Astyanax mexicanus: one gene and its partner. The protein of the gene in region 2 purifies or fractionates together with the protein of the main gene of each other region. This does not show direct contact. Links are inferred from orthologs where the notes say so. Each region holds a gene or a part of one and is shown on either strand. Other genes may lie near its edges.

Evidence for each region. The genes of interacting proteins can lie anywhere in the genome.
Region 1: the proteins of ppp3ccb (region 2) and rcan3 purify together in Homo sapiens (affinity purification with mass spectrometry; 3 studies listed by BioGRID and IntAct, counting the BioPlex papers as one, with this or other methods). This does not show direct contact. The link is inferred for Astyanax mexicanus from reciprocal best matches to the Homo sapiens genes PPP3CC and RCAN3.

The regions. Positions count from the first base shown.
Region 1 is NC_064421.1:35,120,397-35,127,957, reverse strand, and holds the start of rcan3 (calcipressin-3), read right to left. Parts: upstream 3,018-7,561; 5' UTR 2,878-3,017; intron 1-2,877.
Region 2 is NC_064427.1:21,725,009-21,732,025, reverse strand, and holds the start of ppp3ccb (protein phosphatase 3, catalytic subunit, gamma isozyme, b), read left to right. Parts: upstream 1-4,012; 5' UTR 4,013-4,583; coding exon 4,584-4,635; intron 4,636-7,017. UniProt on the Homo sapiens protein: Calcium-dependent, calmodulin-stimulated protein phosphatase which plays an essential role in the transduction of intracellular Ca(2+)-mediated signals. Dephosphorylates and activates transcription factor NFATC1.

The DNA of each region.
Region 1 (7,561 bases), on a different chromosome or scaffold from region 2:
AGCCTGGCTGTGCTCCGGTTCGCGTCTAAAACCTCCCGCGATGAAGCGAAACCGACCTTAACCAAGCGGATCTCGGCTGCGCTCCGCTTCCCACCTAGAATGTCCCGCAATGAAGCTCCGCTGCGCTCCGGTCCGGTCTGTTACTGTTACTGTCACTTTAAGCAGTTTGACTACACACAATATCTGAAGCACTTTTGTAGATTATGTTGTATCTAAGTTATTTATAGTTGATATAGGTTTGTTTATATGACGGGGATATCATGTTCCCTATATATATATATATATATATATATATATATATATATATATATATATATATATATATATATATATATATATATATATATACACTGCTCAAAAAAATAAAGGGAACACTCAAATAACACATCCTAGATCTGAATGAATGAAATATTCTCATTGAATACTTTGTTCTGTACAAAGTTGAATGTGCTGACAACAAAATCACACAAAAATCATCAATGGAAATCAAATTTATTAACCAATGGAGGCCTGGATTTGGAGCCACACACAAAATTAAAGTGAAAAAAAAAACACACACTACAGGCTGATCCAACTTTAATGTAATGTCCTTAAAACAAAACACAAGTCAAAATGAGGCTCAGTATTGTATGTGGCCTACACGTGCCTGTATGACCTCCCTACAACGCCTGGGCATGCTCCTGATGAGGTGGCGGATGGTCTCCTGAGGGATCTCCTCCCAGACCTGGACTAAAGCATCCGCCAACTCCTGGACAGTCTGTGGTGCAACGTGATGTTGGTGGATGGAGCGAGACATGATGTCCCAGATGTGCTCAATCGGATTCAGGTCTGGGGAACGGGCGGGCCAGTCCATAGCTTCAATGCCTTCATCTTGCAGGAACTGCTGACACACTCCAGCCACATGAGGTCTAGCATTGTCCTGCATTAGGAGGAACCCAGGGCCAACCGCACCAGCATATGGTCTCACAAGGGGTCTGAGGATCTCATCTCGGTACCTAATGGCAGTCAGGCTACCTCTGGTGAGCACATGGAGGGCTGTGCGGCCCTCCAAAGAAATGCCACCCCACACCATTACTGACCCACTGCCAAACCGGTCATGCTGAAGGATGTTGCAGGCAGCAGACCGCTCTCCACGGCGTCTCCAGACTCTGTCACGTCTGTCATGTGCTCAGTGTGAACCTGCTTTCATCTGTGAAGAGCACAAGGCGCCAGTGGCGAATTTGCCAATCCTGGTGTTCTCTGGCAAATGCCAAGCGTCCTGCACGGTGTTGGGCTGTGAGCACAACCCCCATCTGTGGATGTCGGGCCCTCATACCATCCTCATGGAGTCGGTTTCTAACCGTTTGTGCAGACACATGCACATTTGTGGCCTGCTGGAGGTCATTTTGCAGGGCTCTGGCAGTGCTCCTCCTGTTCCTTCTTGCACAAAGGCGGAGGTAGCGGTCCTGCTGCTGGGTTGTTGCCCTCCTACGGCCTCCTCCACGTCTCCTGGTGTACTGGCCTGTCCCCTGGTAGCGCCTCCAGCCTCTGGACACTACGCTGACAGACACAGCAAACCTTCTTGCCACAGCTCGCATTGATGTGCCACCCTGGATGAGCTGCACTACCTGAGCCACTTGTGTGGGTTGTAGAGTCCGTCTCATGCTACCACGAGTGTGAAAGCACCACCAACATTCAAAACTGACCAAAACATCAGCCAGACAGCATAGGTTCTGAGAAGTGGTCTGTGGTCCCCACCTGCAGAACCACTCCTTTATTGAGTGTGTCTTGCTAATTGCCAATAATTTCCACCTGTTGTCTATTCCATTTGCACAACAGCAGGTGAAATTGATTGTCAATCAGTGTTGCTTCCTAAGTGGACAGTTTAATTTCACAGAAGTTTGATTTACTTGGAGTTATATTGTGTTATTTGAGTGTTCCCTTTATTTTTTTGAGCAGTGTATATATTGTTTTGATCTGTTAAATATGTTTACAAAAGAATAAGAAGCTCTGCCTCTGTTGTAATGTTGTAAAGTTATTTATATTGGTAATATGTTTATAGGTTATAGGTTTGTGTTTGACAGAAATGTCATGTTTTTATTTTGCTACATGCAAATAAAAGTGTGCATTGATTTATTCTGACCATTTTTTATTTCTAAAGTATTATACAGTTTTTGTGAGAGGAGGCTTTAAAGACTTAAATTAAAATTTCAGACAGTAGTGTACAGATTTCCATTGCAGGGATTCTTAGCAGTTTTTCTGAGGCCTTCAAAGTATTTATATAGATATTGAAATTATATCGTATCGATTGAAATTAAGGAATATATTGTGATATAAATTTTGGCCATATCGCCCAGCACTACATACAAACATATCAAAACAGTTTGATATGCCATAATTGAACTCAGAACAGCTCGTTTGGAATCACTACAAAGCTTTACACCGATAAAGTTTCTACAGTTAAACTCCATTTCCCATGAGCCTCTTGGATAAGCCATGCGAGTTAAACCCCTTTGGCCAGTCACCAAAACACTGCAAGTGAGTGTAAACGCTCATTCAGTCTCGTTACAAACACAAATAAACGACAGCACAGTCATACAGCTGTGTTCTGTATGTTTTAGATGGTAAAATCTGTGTTTTTATTCAGCGCAGGTTTTGGGTGGTTTTATTGATAAACAGCGTCGCTGTCTAGTGGCGAACACGTGATTACATTATTGTTATTATTATTATCCAGCGGATTTATTTTAAATTATAAAAGTGTTTAATTTTATGTCAGAAGGAATACAGAAGGCTTTTTTAACACACTGATTCATAAAGTTGGGCTGTATGTACTCGGATAACCAGATAACAGAATAACATAACCCTGTAGTTTCAGCGCGTCCCTGGTTCTTAACCTACCTCCGCGGGGTCAGAGCAGTCCCTCGCCGCCTTCCGACTGCTCAGCTCCGGGTCAGCTCGCCCTCAGCCCCGCTGCTGCCGGTACCAGCGAACCAGAACCACAACCTGGGTGTCCATCTTTCACCTCCCAGAGGCTGAGACTCTCTCTCTCTCTCTCTCTCTCTCTCTCTCTCTCTCTCTCTCTCTCTCTCTCTCTTCTCTCTCTCTCTCTCTCATTCGACCAATCCAATTCGAGGCTATCATCTCACCAGCCAATAGCATCAGAGTCTTAGTCCTAACTATAGCTTTGTAAAAAAAAAAAAAAAAAAGAGACCATTAAAAATCGAGTTTCTTTGATTTTACCTAGTTGAAAACCTCTAGAATATAATCAAAAGGAAGATGGATGATCCATCAAACCAAGCTGAAATGCTTGACTTTTTGCAGGAGTGGAATAAAGTTATCCAAAAGCATTTTAAACCCCTAAAACTTTATTAATATAAACTTGTTTCCTTTGCATTATTTGAGGTCTGAAAGCTCTGCATCTTTTTTGTTATTTCAGCCATTTATAAATTTCTGCAAATAAATGCTCTAAATGACAATTATTTTATTGCGAATTTGGGAGAAATGTAGTTTATAGAATATTTTTATAGAATATTTTACTCAAACATATACCTATAAATAACTAAATAAAAAAAAACTGTATGCCTTTTTAACATAATAATTATGCTTGATTTATATATGGTCGCTGTCCAATGAAAATCTTCAGAACAGCAACTTTACAGGAGAGAGAACAAACCTTCTAAACTTTCAATTGAAGTCAATGTAAAAATAGTTTATTTAAGGTAATTTCAAAGTATTTCTTTTGATTTGTCCATCAAGAAATTTTGGCACAGTTTGTGTGTTCAAATTATGCAGTAAACTAAAAATCAACAAAACTGGGGATACTTACTTTTTACTGGACTCCGAATAAAAATAATGAATCTAATAATGATACTAGAATACATATTTTAATATTAACAAAATTATATATACTTTCAGTTATGTCCAATACTTATACATTGGTCTTTTTTCATGTAGAATGGGGAGTTGGGGGCTGCAGTGGCACTCAGACCTGTTGCAACAAAGGAAAACAGCAAAGAAAAAAAAATTCCCTGGGGCCACAAGCTGGCCTGGGACCCCCAGACAACGACTAATTACAAACTGAATGCAGTGACAAACTGTGTGAGTGCCCAATACATTCTGTGATAATCAATGCAGGAAAGTACAATGACACAGTTATCGAAATCTCCTCAAGGAGGCCCCTCCCACTAGTTGCTGACAGTAACCAACCAGCCAGGTTTGTGTTTCCTGCAGCCGGCAAAATATGAAACTTCAACAATCGTGAATTAGAGTTCTCCATCAGGAATCTAAAAATGAAAGAATAAAAAGGAAGAGAAAGAAAAGGAAAAACATTAAAGCAGTAATTGATAATTTACACTGGATAAATTAGGCCTGTGTGCTTATGTACACATAGTGTATTTTACCAGCTGTTAGGTTATATATATGGATCATTTGTATGTTACCTAACTGCCTGGCAATCAATGCTAGTAACAAATGCAATGAAGGGGCTGATATACACTGAGCTATGTTACATTAACAAAAAGGAAAACGCAGATCTGCTCCAGATCACTCCAGATTCACTGTTTATCACTTTTAATGACATGACATAGCAGTAGCCTAACAGAGCCCATCTTCCCTGTGGCCCCCAAAATGCCTTAAACGGCCCTGGTGGCACTTATCACCTACAAAGGTGACCTCCATGTAAAAAAGAAGTTTGAAGAAATGCTGTTCTAGGTTACTGGATCAAAATATCATCTTAAACATCAATGACGGACATGGCTAAACCTGCAGCTTTTTTTAGAGAAGGTGCAATGTGTGATGGTTGGTTCTAAGATTTCAAGTAGTGTTTATAACTGAATCGATTTTACTGAAATATACCACTGTCACTAACACTGCCTTCAACCTGACCTCCAAAATTCTTGACATTTCTGCATAACATTACCAACATGCAATAATATTGGTATATTATGACATTATAACATGACTGTTAGCTCATCAGCAGGCATGTGACAGCATTGTGTGCATGCGTTAATGTCCTTTTCAGGCTCTTTCTGTGGGCCAGCCCAGGGTACTGTCAGAGGTCAGAGCTCACAGGCGTTCTCATTTAACTAATGCTAGTAGCTGAGGGCCCAGACTTTAATCAGTGCTCTGATCTCTACCCAGGAAAATACCTGCTGCTGCCATGCCATCTATCGAAACACACACACACACACACAACCAATTATTGAACAGCAGAAGAACCTACATTCTGTAGCCCCACATTAAAATAATTGAAAACAAATCAGAACAAGCATTTTATTTAAATTAAAATTACACAATTGTTTAAAAGAATTCTCTGCCTAATTCTGTGTAAATGTGTTGTATATGATATGCTGTAAATTGCTTTCAAATGTTACCCCACAAAGATAATGGTAGATTCTACTCAGTGAGCCAGGCCTTGGGTTGTGCCTGGGTGTGTTAATTGGGCAGATATATTGTAGATATAGTAGTGATGTTGTGCAAGGCCAGTTCCCTGTTGGTGGGGTATATATCATGTGGCAGATGAACACACTGATATTTGAGAAATGATATTATGTTTATAGGAAATGTGCAATAATGTATAAATTTAGGCACCCCAACAGAAAAAAATTACATCAGAATCTGTCTTCTGCTTGAATGTATTTTGGATCATTCTTCTTTATAAAACACCTCTAGTTCAGTCAGGTTTGATGGTTTCTGAGCATCAACAGCCTGTTTTAAATCCCACCACAGATTTTTAATAATATTCAGGTCTGGGGACTGAGATGATCATTCCAGAACTTTGTACTTGTTCCTCTTCATGAATGTTTTAGCAGATTTTGAGCTGTGTTTAGGGTCGTTATCTTGTTGAAGGGACTCCATCTGCAGCAGGATGATGTTGTAGGTGTTTGGAGCTGATCTGTGGGTTGACTATAACTGTTCTCACCATCCTTCTCCTCTGATTATCTGAGATTTTTCTTGTTCGGCCACTTCAGGCCTTAAATTGAACTGTGCCTGTGATCTTCCATTTCCTCACTATGTTCCTCACAGTGGAAACTGACAGCTGTTTTCTTCTCCTAAATCATATTGTTAAACAATCTTTGTTTTCAGGTCATTTGAGAGTTGTGTTTTGAGGCTTTCATGTTGGTACTCTTCAGAGAAGATGCAAAGAGGAGAAAGACTTGCAGTTGGCTCCTTAACCTTTTCTCATAATTGGATTCACCTGTGTATTAAACTCAATTCAATTTTATTTATGTTGCGCTTTTTACAACAGAAGTTGTAAATGTCACAAAGCAGCTTTACAGAGAAAAACAGGTCCACGCCTCTTATGAGCAGCACCACAGAAATGGCAATTATTGTGGTGACAACAGTGGCAAGGAAAAACTCCCTTACATTAAGAGGAAGAAACCTTGAAAGGAACCAAGACTCAGTCAGAGTGTATGTAGGTCAATACGCTTATCAAACTAAATTATAATAATTAGTGCTTAAGGTATTCAAATCAATAAAACGACAGGGGTGCCCAAACTTTTTAATGCCACTGTATCGTTCTCTTCTCTTTCATATTTTGGTTTTGGTCTATGTGGGGCATATGCTACATACAGACCGATTATTATAAATGCATCTTAATTAATCACAGTAGCTTTGCAATGTGTAATTTATGAAACGCCAGGGTCAGATGTCTGCATTAAGTAATACTACCTCTTCTCTGCAAAATCTTAACCAACTCAAAACAATTGCACGCACAGGTGAGCACATTTTATTAATCTGAGATCTGAGTAAATACACCTTTAAATGTTACACAGACTTAAGAACTATTACAAACGCGGTGTATCGCAAGGACATCGTCAATCAGATGTTTGAGAAGATTAGATTTTCTCTTTACAACCTTCTGCCTCAAGCTGCGTGCATTTACAGTATAATACATTCCATAAATAGTTGCATACATTTTGAATTCATTAAATAATTATACTACACAAGCTCCCACTAAAGGCACAGGGAAAAAATACATCAAATACAATCTTAAAAATATTATAAGGCCCCTAAAGAAAAGAAAGAAATGCCCAAGAAAGAACATATTTGGCTGCACCCGACCCGTCCACACTCCTGCGCTGTTTCACAGCTTCAGTCTCTCATTCTCAGCACATAAACCCAGCAGTATACACACATATATAACATACAGATGTAAATGTTTAAGTCAGTGGTAGAAATGTACAAGTCACATGAACATACATACAGTACAGTCTGGGATCAGGAATAGAACAGTAGTTTTGTTTTAAAGGCAGAAATGGAGCAGATGACAGTGTTCTGCTTACAGTGTTCAGTTTGGAATAGACCGACTGAGCTGAGAGTCCAGCCTGAGCCAAGAAACATCCATTAAAGAGGGTACTGGTGCAACTGGAGAACAGGTACAAGATGTCATATAGTATGATCAAGCAATAATACATGAGATGGAGTGCTATAACGTGTAATAGCACTCCCTGCAGTCTGCAGCCTACAGCCTTGTGGCTACGACCGCATCACAGCAGTGCCAATATTACATGTTATAGCACAAACCTTGAGTGTATTATTGCGATTATAACAGTTCAATTATCGCTCTTAATTAAAAGAT
Region 2 (7,017 bases):
TTGAGGTAGGGGTAACGTCACATTAGAGTCTCCTGGTAGAACTTTCACTGGAACTTTTATTTCTATAGAATGGAAGGGAGCAAATATACATTGTTCACGACACTCAAGGTCGCCGGTGCTGCAGGTCGCTGAGGCCAGCCGGAGGCTCGTCCAGGTCGACTGGGTGTGTTGCTGTGCTTCGGTGGGAGTTGGCTCAGTGCCAGACTGGATGGGATGATCATTAGTAACAGCTGTTGGCTCCGTCTGGGCTGAACACTAGAATCGTAAGTTTTGGGACTGCAGTGTTCAGGGGCGAGAGAATGTTAATGTCGGTAAATAACGCCGTCCTGCCGTAAACAAGCCTCCACTCAGGGGTCTGGAGATGAAGAGCGTCCACACTGCCAAAGGCCTCCTCAGATGGGACATACTGTGATGAGAGACTGGAAGACTCTGAGGCAGAGTTACTGGGTTCATCTGGCCCAGCAGATATCTTCACACACATTAGGAGTTTAAGGACACTCTGTCTCCTTTTTCTCATTATTTACACCATTAACACTTAAAAATAAAGGCAATTTTCTTGTAGAGGGGATGTCAGAAAACTAAATGATTTCAATAAACATTTAAGTACTTTTTTAACATTTCCTTATGTAACAGTGTAGAAAATGCATGTTATCACAAGACTCCAAAACTTTCCGCGCCCCAACGTTCACCCATGTCACATCAAATCATGTCATGAAGCTCATTGCTGTTTTACACCACGTCTTCTGTCGCATCGTTTAAATAGAAACAGTGCTTCTGAATATATCTACACTGATGGGCGTGGTGGTCTGGAAGTTGAGTGTCTTCAGGTACGTTTGTGGTATCTTGGCAGTGGAAAACACAGGTGCACCACTGACTGAATACAACCTAGACAGATCAGACAGTCAACAGTCAGATGTTCATTGCTATGTGCTGCAGTGCGCCACGCATACACCCACATTATTACACACATGAACACCCAGAAGCACAAATGCAACTTTTACATCAACAATAAACAGAATACTAAATAAAATACAATTGCTTTTAACATTAATTAACTGCTGGAGCTCCTTTACAGTGTGAACGAGCAAGTCAGTTTCCTCTGCTGAGAAGCGTCGGACATGTCCAAGTACCTGCGCCGTTAAAATAGCAATCTGCCAAAGTCAGAGCACACCTGGCTCTTAAAAGGAATGAAAAGTGACACACTGATTGGTTTATTTTCGCTTCGAACCACACAAAGTGTACTTTTCTCGTTGTTGTGATAGCGAAGACTGACACTGACACACCCTAAATCAAGCTGCATGGTGCTCAGTTGATGGCTCACCTATAGATCCCTAAAATAGGGCCCTCAGTCTTTAAAGGTCAGAGTAAATGGCTGAATGCAGCTTGCTGTACTCTGTGGAGCACTCACACAGCTTGAGTTCTGAGTGGGAGGCAGATCAGGAATGTTGCATGACAAACGTCTCAGTTCCTCGAAGCCAGAGCTCAAAAGTGGAAAACAAGACGGCTTCTCTCCACAGGGCCACAGACTCCACACAGTGACCCGGTTCTGATCCAGACCCCCCTCAGCTGCTCCAACTGTTCCCTAATAGTTTTGATTTCTTCAGTATGAATCTACAGTGTAAAAAAGAAAACAAATAAAGAACAAAAAACACTAAGTGAGAAGATGGGTCAAAACATTATACTGGTATTGTATATGTATGTATGTAAGTATTTGTATGTAAGAATATGATTAAAAAAAGTATCCAGTATTTTATTATATCTTTTCATAGAACAACACTAAAAAAAAAGAAACTTGGAACTGGATATAGTCAGTGTACGGCTTGTATAGCAATATAGATTTACTGTCCTCTGAAAATAACTTAACACACAGAAATGTATGTCTAAATATCTGCAACACAAGAGAGTACACCTCACAGTGAACATTTTCCAAATTGTGCCCAGTTCTGTGAGTGGAGTTCACTTGAGCGCATGGATGTCAGACACCTTGCGCTCCTTTACCTTCTGCCTGAGGATGCCACACAGGTGCTCAATTAGGTTTGGCTCTGGAGACATACTTGGCCAATACATCAACTTTATCCTCGGCTTCCTCAGCAAGGCAATTATTATTTTGGAGGTGTGTTTATGTTTGGGGTCAAGTCAAGCCACGTCAATACAATACAACAAGGTCACAGATATAGAGGTACATGAGACAAGAGACACAAAGACAATATAGTGCAATAGTGATGGGGGGAGGGGATTAAGAAGGAATGACAGTACCATTGTAAACAGAACAGAACAGAACAGAATCGTGTTGGAAAACTGCCATGCAGACCAGTTCCTGGAGGAATTGAAAAGGTACTCTCGTAGCCCTGGACCATGATGCTGATCCCACCACCATGCTTGACTAAGTATTATGAGTATTAAGAAAAAAAGTATTTAGTCCATCAGTGTGAAGTCATGGCATAGAGAAAACACTGTTTATTTGTTGTATATGTGGATTGGGCAGCTGTGTGTTAATTTTGGACAATATTAGATATAGTTCCAGAAACTGGGCCTTAGCGACTTCAAAAACACGTAACAAAATAATTTACATCAGCGCTTGAATGGGAAACAATTTGTGCTGGTTCCAGTTCTGACCACTGGGTAGCACTATGTCTTCATAGATTTACAGAAGGCACACACACAGACACACACACACACACACACACACACACACACAGTTCGCAGGAACATCTGCTACTCTGCTGGGAGACTTTACACTGGTTGTTAATACATTAAAGGGGGGGGGGGGATTTGATTGCATTCAGCTCTTCACAGAAGCATCAGCGAAAAGCATATAAAATATGGTACTTCTGTTGTTAACCACTGGGTGGCACTACACACTCAGACTTACAGGCCAAAACGCACACACACACACACACACACACAGAACACACAAGTGAAGGGATAATTCTGTGTTTTGTGTTTGGCTTAAATGTTGCTGATCGAATCATAAATGGCCACAGCAAAGAAACCATACGTAATAACGACTTCAATCCAGCCAATATATTGTGATATCAATTTTGGTCATATCTTCCAGCACTAGACGAAATTAACTGCCAAATTAAGGAACTGTAAGTCCCTATATGTGCCTTCTTATCCATCTGTGAATAGGGCTCTTTGGCTATGTTTACATAGCAGGCAAAATGTCCCAAATCTGATTTTCTGACTAAATCTGATATGAAGTTTAGTCTGTTTACACAATCTTTTTTATCACTTTCATCACTAAAAATCTAAATCATAATCGAGAATCGCTCCTATATTTAAAAACATCTAGAATTTATATTGGTATAAATATATATGTGTATATATATATATATATATATATATATATATATATATATATATATACACTATATATATATATATATATATATATATATATATATATATATATATATATATATATATATATATATAGTATATATATACACCAACAAAAAACTTACAAATTACCTTAAAGAAACTATTTTTACATTGACTTCCATTTAATGCTTAAAAGGTTTTTTTCTCCCTCCTGTAAAGTTGCTGTTTTGGAAACAGCGATGATATACACTAGTGCATCTCAGAAAATTAGAATACCATTGAACAGTTACTTTATTTTCAGTTTCAGTTCAAAATGTAAAACTTGTAAATTGTGTAGATTTTTTTTTGTTGATTGTGTAGATGTATTGCGCGAAAAAACACTGCACTGACTTTAGACTTGTCATAACACAGAGGACCAATAGCAGCAGATGACATGACTCTTCAAACCATCACTGATCATCAGTAAATTGTGCATTTCATTTGGAAATCAAAGGACCAGAGTCTACTGTGAAGTTTCCACAATATGTATAAAAGAAGCACCTAGTGTAGCACCTTGGTGTGCTTCACGTAGCACGTTTAAAAAACACTAAGCTACATGTATCTGTGTATATATGTTTATCTGTGCACTCTGCGCACTACATCCCCCACAATGCCCGCGGCCCTCCCTCCTCGCCATGTTGTAGGAAATGCTGGTGCTGTGGATTAGAGTTTAATCCGAGCGCAGCGGCGGAGAGAGACGGAGAGAAAACCCGCAGCGGCTCTGACTGAGACTCACCGAGACTCTCCGAGACTCCCACCTGCGCCCAAACCCCGCGGACCCCCGGACACTCTGGCCCGCAGCGGTACTAGGGGTGGCGGTTGTGCAGTAGCTCCGGCTGGGTCGTTGTTCGGCGCGTTTCCTGCTCCGTGTGCTTCATCCTCCCTCCGCGGAGAGCGCAGCTGCAGCCCGGGGGTCTCTCCGACACAGCGCACTCACACACCGGCCACAGCACACCTCTACACCCCGCGGCCGGCCTCCCCTCTCCCCCTTACCCCTCACCCCTCCGCCCCACGGCGCTGCGATCACCACCGGCCCGGGGTTCAGCCCGCAGCCGCTCTGCTGCTCCCGGAGCCCGGCCGAGCCGGGGCTAGCTAACCCACAGCTACCCGAGCTAGCTAACTGACTGACAGCATTAGCTGGGCGGTTTAGAGCCGCACGGAGGAATTCTCTGCTTTACCCCGCAGAGAGAAGATTAATTAAAGACGGTGAATTATCCACGATGTCGGCGAAGGACCAGAACAAACAGTCCACCATCGAAAGGCCGGTGAAAGGTAACGGGAACGGCGCGAAAAAAAATCCTCCCAGTTTGTGGCGTTAGCATCATGCTAACTGTTTCAATTTCACTGACTGGAGTTAACATTAGCCTGCAGCTAACGTTAGCTAGGTTAGCTTACCCAGCTAACCTAACTAGCTTAACTCAATAACCAACGCTCACCTGATTAGCATTTCCTAACTAAATATAGCTAACGCTATTTTTACGAGTACACTCTGTTATAAAATAGATATTCATCGTATCTACCTAATTAACAATAATAACGACTGTTAAATATATGGGGTTTCTTATTTACCTCAGCTTGTCGTTGAGTTTCCTCATTTCTTAACGCTTTTCGTTAGCAAGACTTCAAGGTTAGCTATCTTAACTAGCTTAGCGTTAGTTTTTTTTCCTGTCAAGTTGTGCTAACTAAACTAGCTAATTTTACCTGTAAATAGGTCTGGAGTGAGGTTTGGAAATAAACTGGACATTTTACTAACTTAATAATATTGAATGTTATGTGTGTGGGATTTCCTATTTACCTCAGTTTGTCATTAACTTTCCTCATTTTTAACGTTCCAGGTTTATTTTTTCTGTCAGACTGTGGGAACTGACTGGTCAGTCTTAGTTATTTTAACTTAACGTTTTTAAACAACGTTTTTATCCAGTTAAACGCTTATTTAACTTGCCTCAGTTTGTCGTTGGGTTTACTTTTTTTTTGTACAAATCCCTGTCAGATTGTGACTAGTCTGTTTTAGCTAACCTGGCTAGCTGACTAAGTCACGGTCACTTGATTAACTACTTTTAGTGAATTAAGCTTTCTTATAGGGTAGATATTATCTGAACCATATTATTAACAGTGATATCGACTGTTAAATGTGTGAAGTTTCTAATTTACCTCTGTTTATCGTTGAATTTCCCCATCTTTATCGTTTTTGTTCATTTACCTCAGTTGGTCATTGAATTTAATCATAGTTTTTCCTGTCAAATTGTTTGAACTGACTGGTCAGTCTTAGCTAACTCAACTTGGTTTACTTTGTTGTAATTAAATTGCAAAAAAGGCTGAATGCTTTAATTTCTTTAATATAAAAAAACACATTGTGATTTTGAGGCACAATATCTATCACTGATATTTTCCAGGTGTATAAACATGAATTAGTATTTTTCAATTTCATAGAGCTATTCATTAATTATTAGTTAATTTTACTGTTTACTAATGTAGCCTTTCACTAAATACTTTTTACCTGTTCTCTAGCTAATTTTACCTGTAGAACGGGTTTGGAAATAAACTAGATATCTTACTAACAAAAATACAGATGAATAAATGTGTGGATTTTCTTATTTACCTCAGTTTGACCTTAACTTTCCTAATTTGTTTTTACATTTTTGCTTTAGATGTTCCTGTCAGATTGTGGTTACTGACTGGTCAGTCTTAGCCAACCTAACATACCTTACATTTTCTGCAGTTAAGCACGTTTAAATACTGGTTAAATACTGACTACCCTTTACAGGCTGTATTAACACGAATTGGTGTTTTTCACTTTAATAGAGCTATTCATTAATCAATAATTTAACTTTTCACTGATATTGCCTGACAGCTTATGGACAAAACAAATTTTCTTATAGATTAGATATTCATTAGTTCAGCTCTAGCTAACGTATTAACAATAATAAAGATTGTTAAATGTGTGAGGTCTTATTTACTACACTTTGTAATTTAGGATTCTCATTTTTAACGTTTTTGGTTACCAAGACAGCTAGCTAACAAGCGTAACTCTTTTGCTTTAGTTTTGTTTCTGTGTTTTTGTGGCTAACTGCCAGCCTTAATTAACTAGTTGGCTAACTAGCTGCTTTTTGCCTGTTAGCTAGCCAAATAAATCTACCTTTCTCTTTCACAAGTGTTTAGGGATGCTAGTGATCACATTACACTAATGTTGGGTAATAGAGACCTTGATATCTGTAGACGGTTTGCCAGATGATGATAGATTAGTGTTTAATTTTTCTGAAGTTTGACTAGTCAGAGCGTGTTTGGAAATCAGCAAAACAAGATAAGCACCACATTTAAGAGAGCTATCATAAATGATGACTGCACTGATTTGCGTAATTCATTGTTTCTCATGCAGGTCTGCTGTCGAGCACAAAGGACCCACAGTGTGCTGTGTTAAGTCACGGTGGCTGATTCACTAAATGGTAACACAAAATCCAGCCAAGGCTAGATTTGCTGGATCTCCATTGGCTGAAAAGATTGCTCAGTGCATTTCAACAAAAGGGAAATACATATTTAGTTTGATAAAATGCAGTGGCTTAAAATATTACGTCTATTATATTTTATGTGGCATTTCATGTGACTCTTTCCAAGGGCTCAGACCCTTGCTCTTTGAGCCTTGGTTTAAGATGGAGA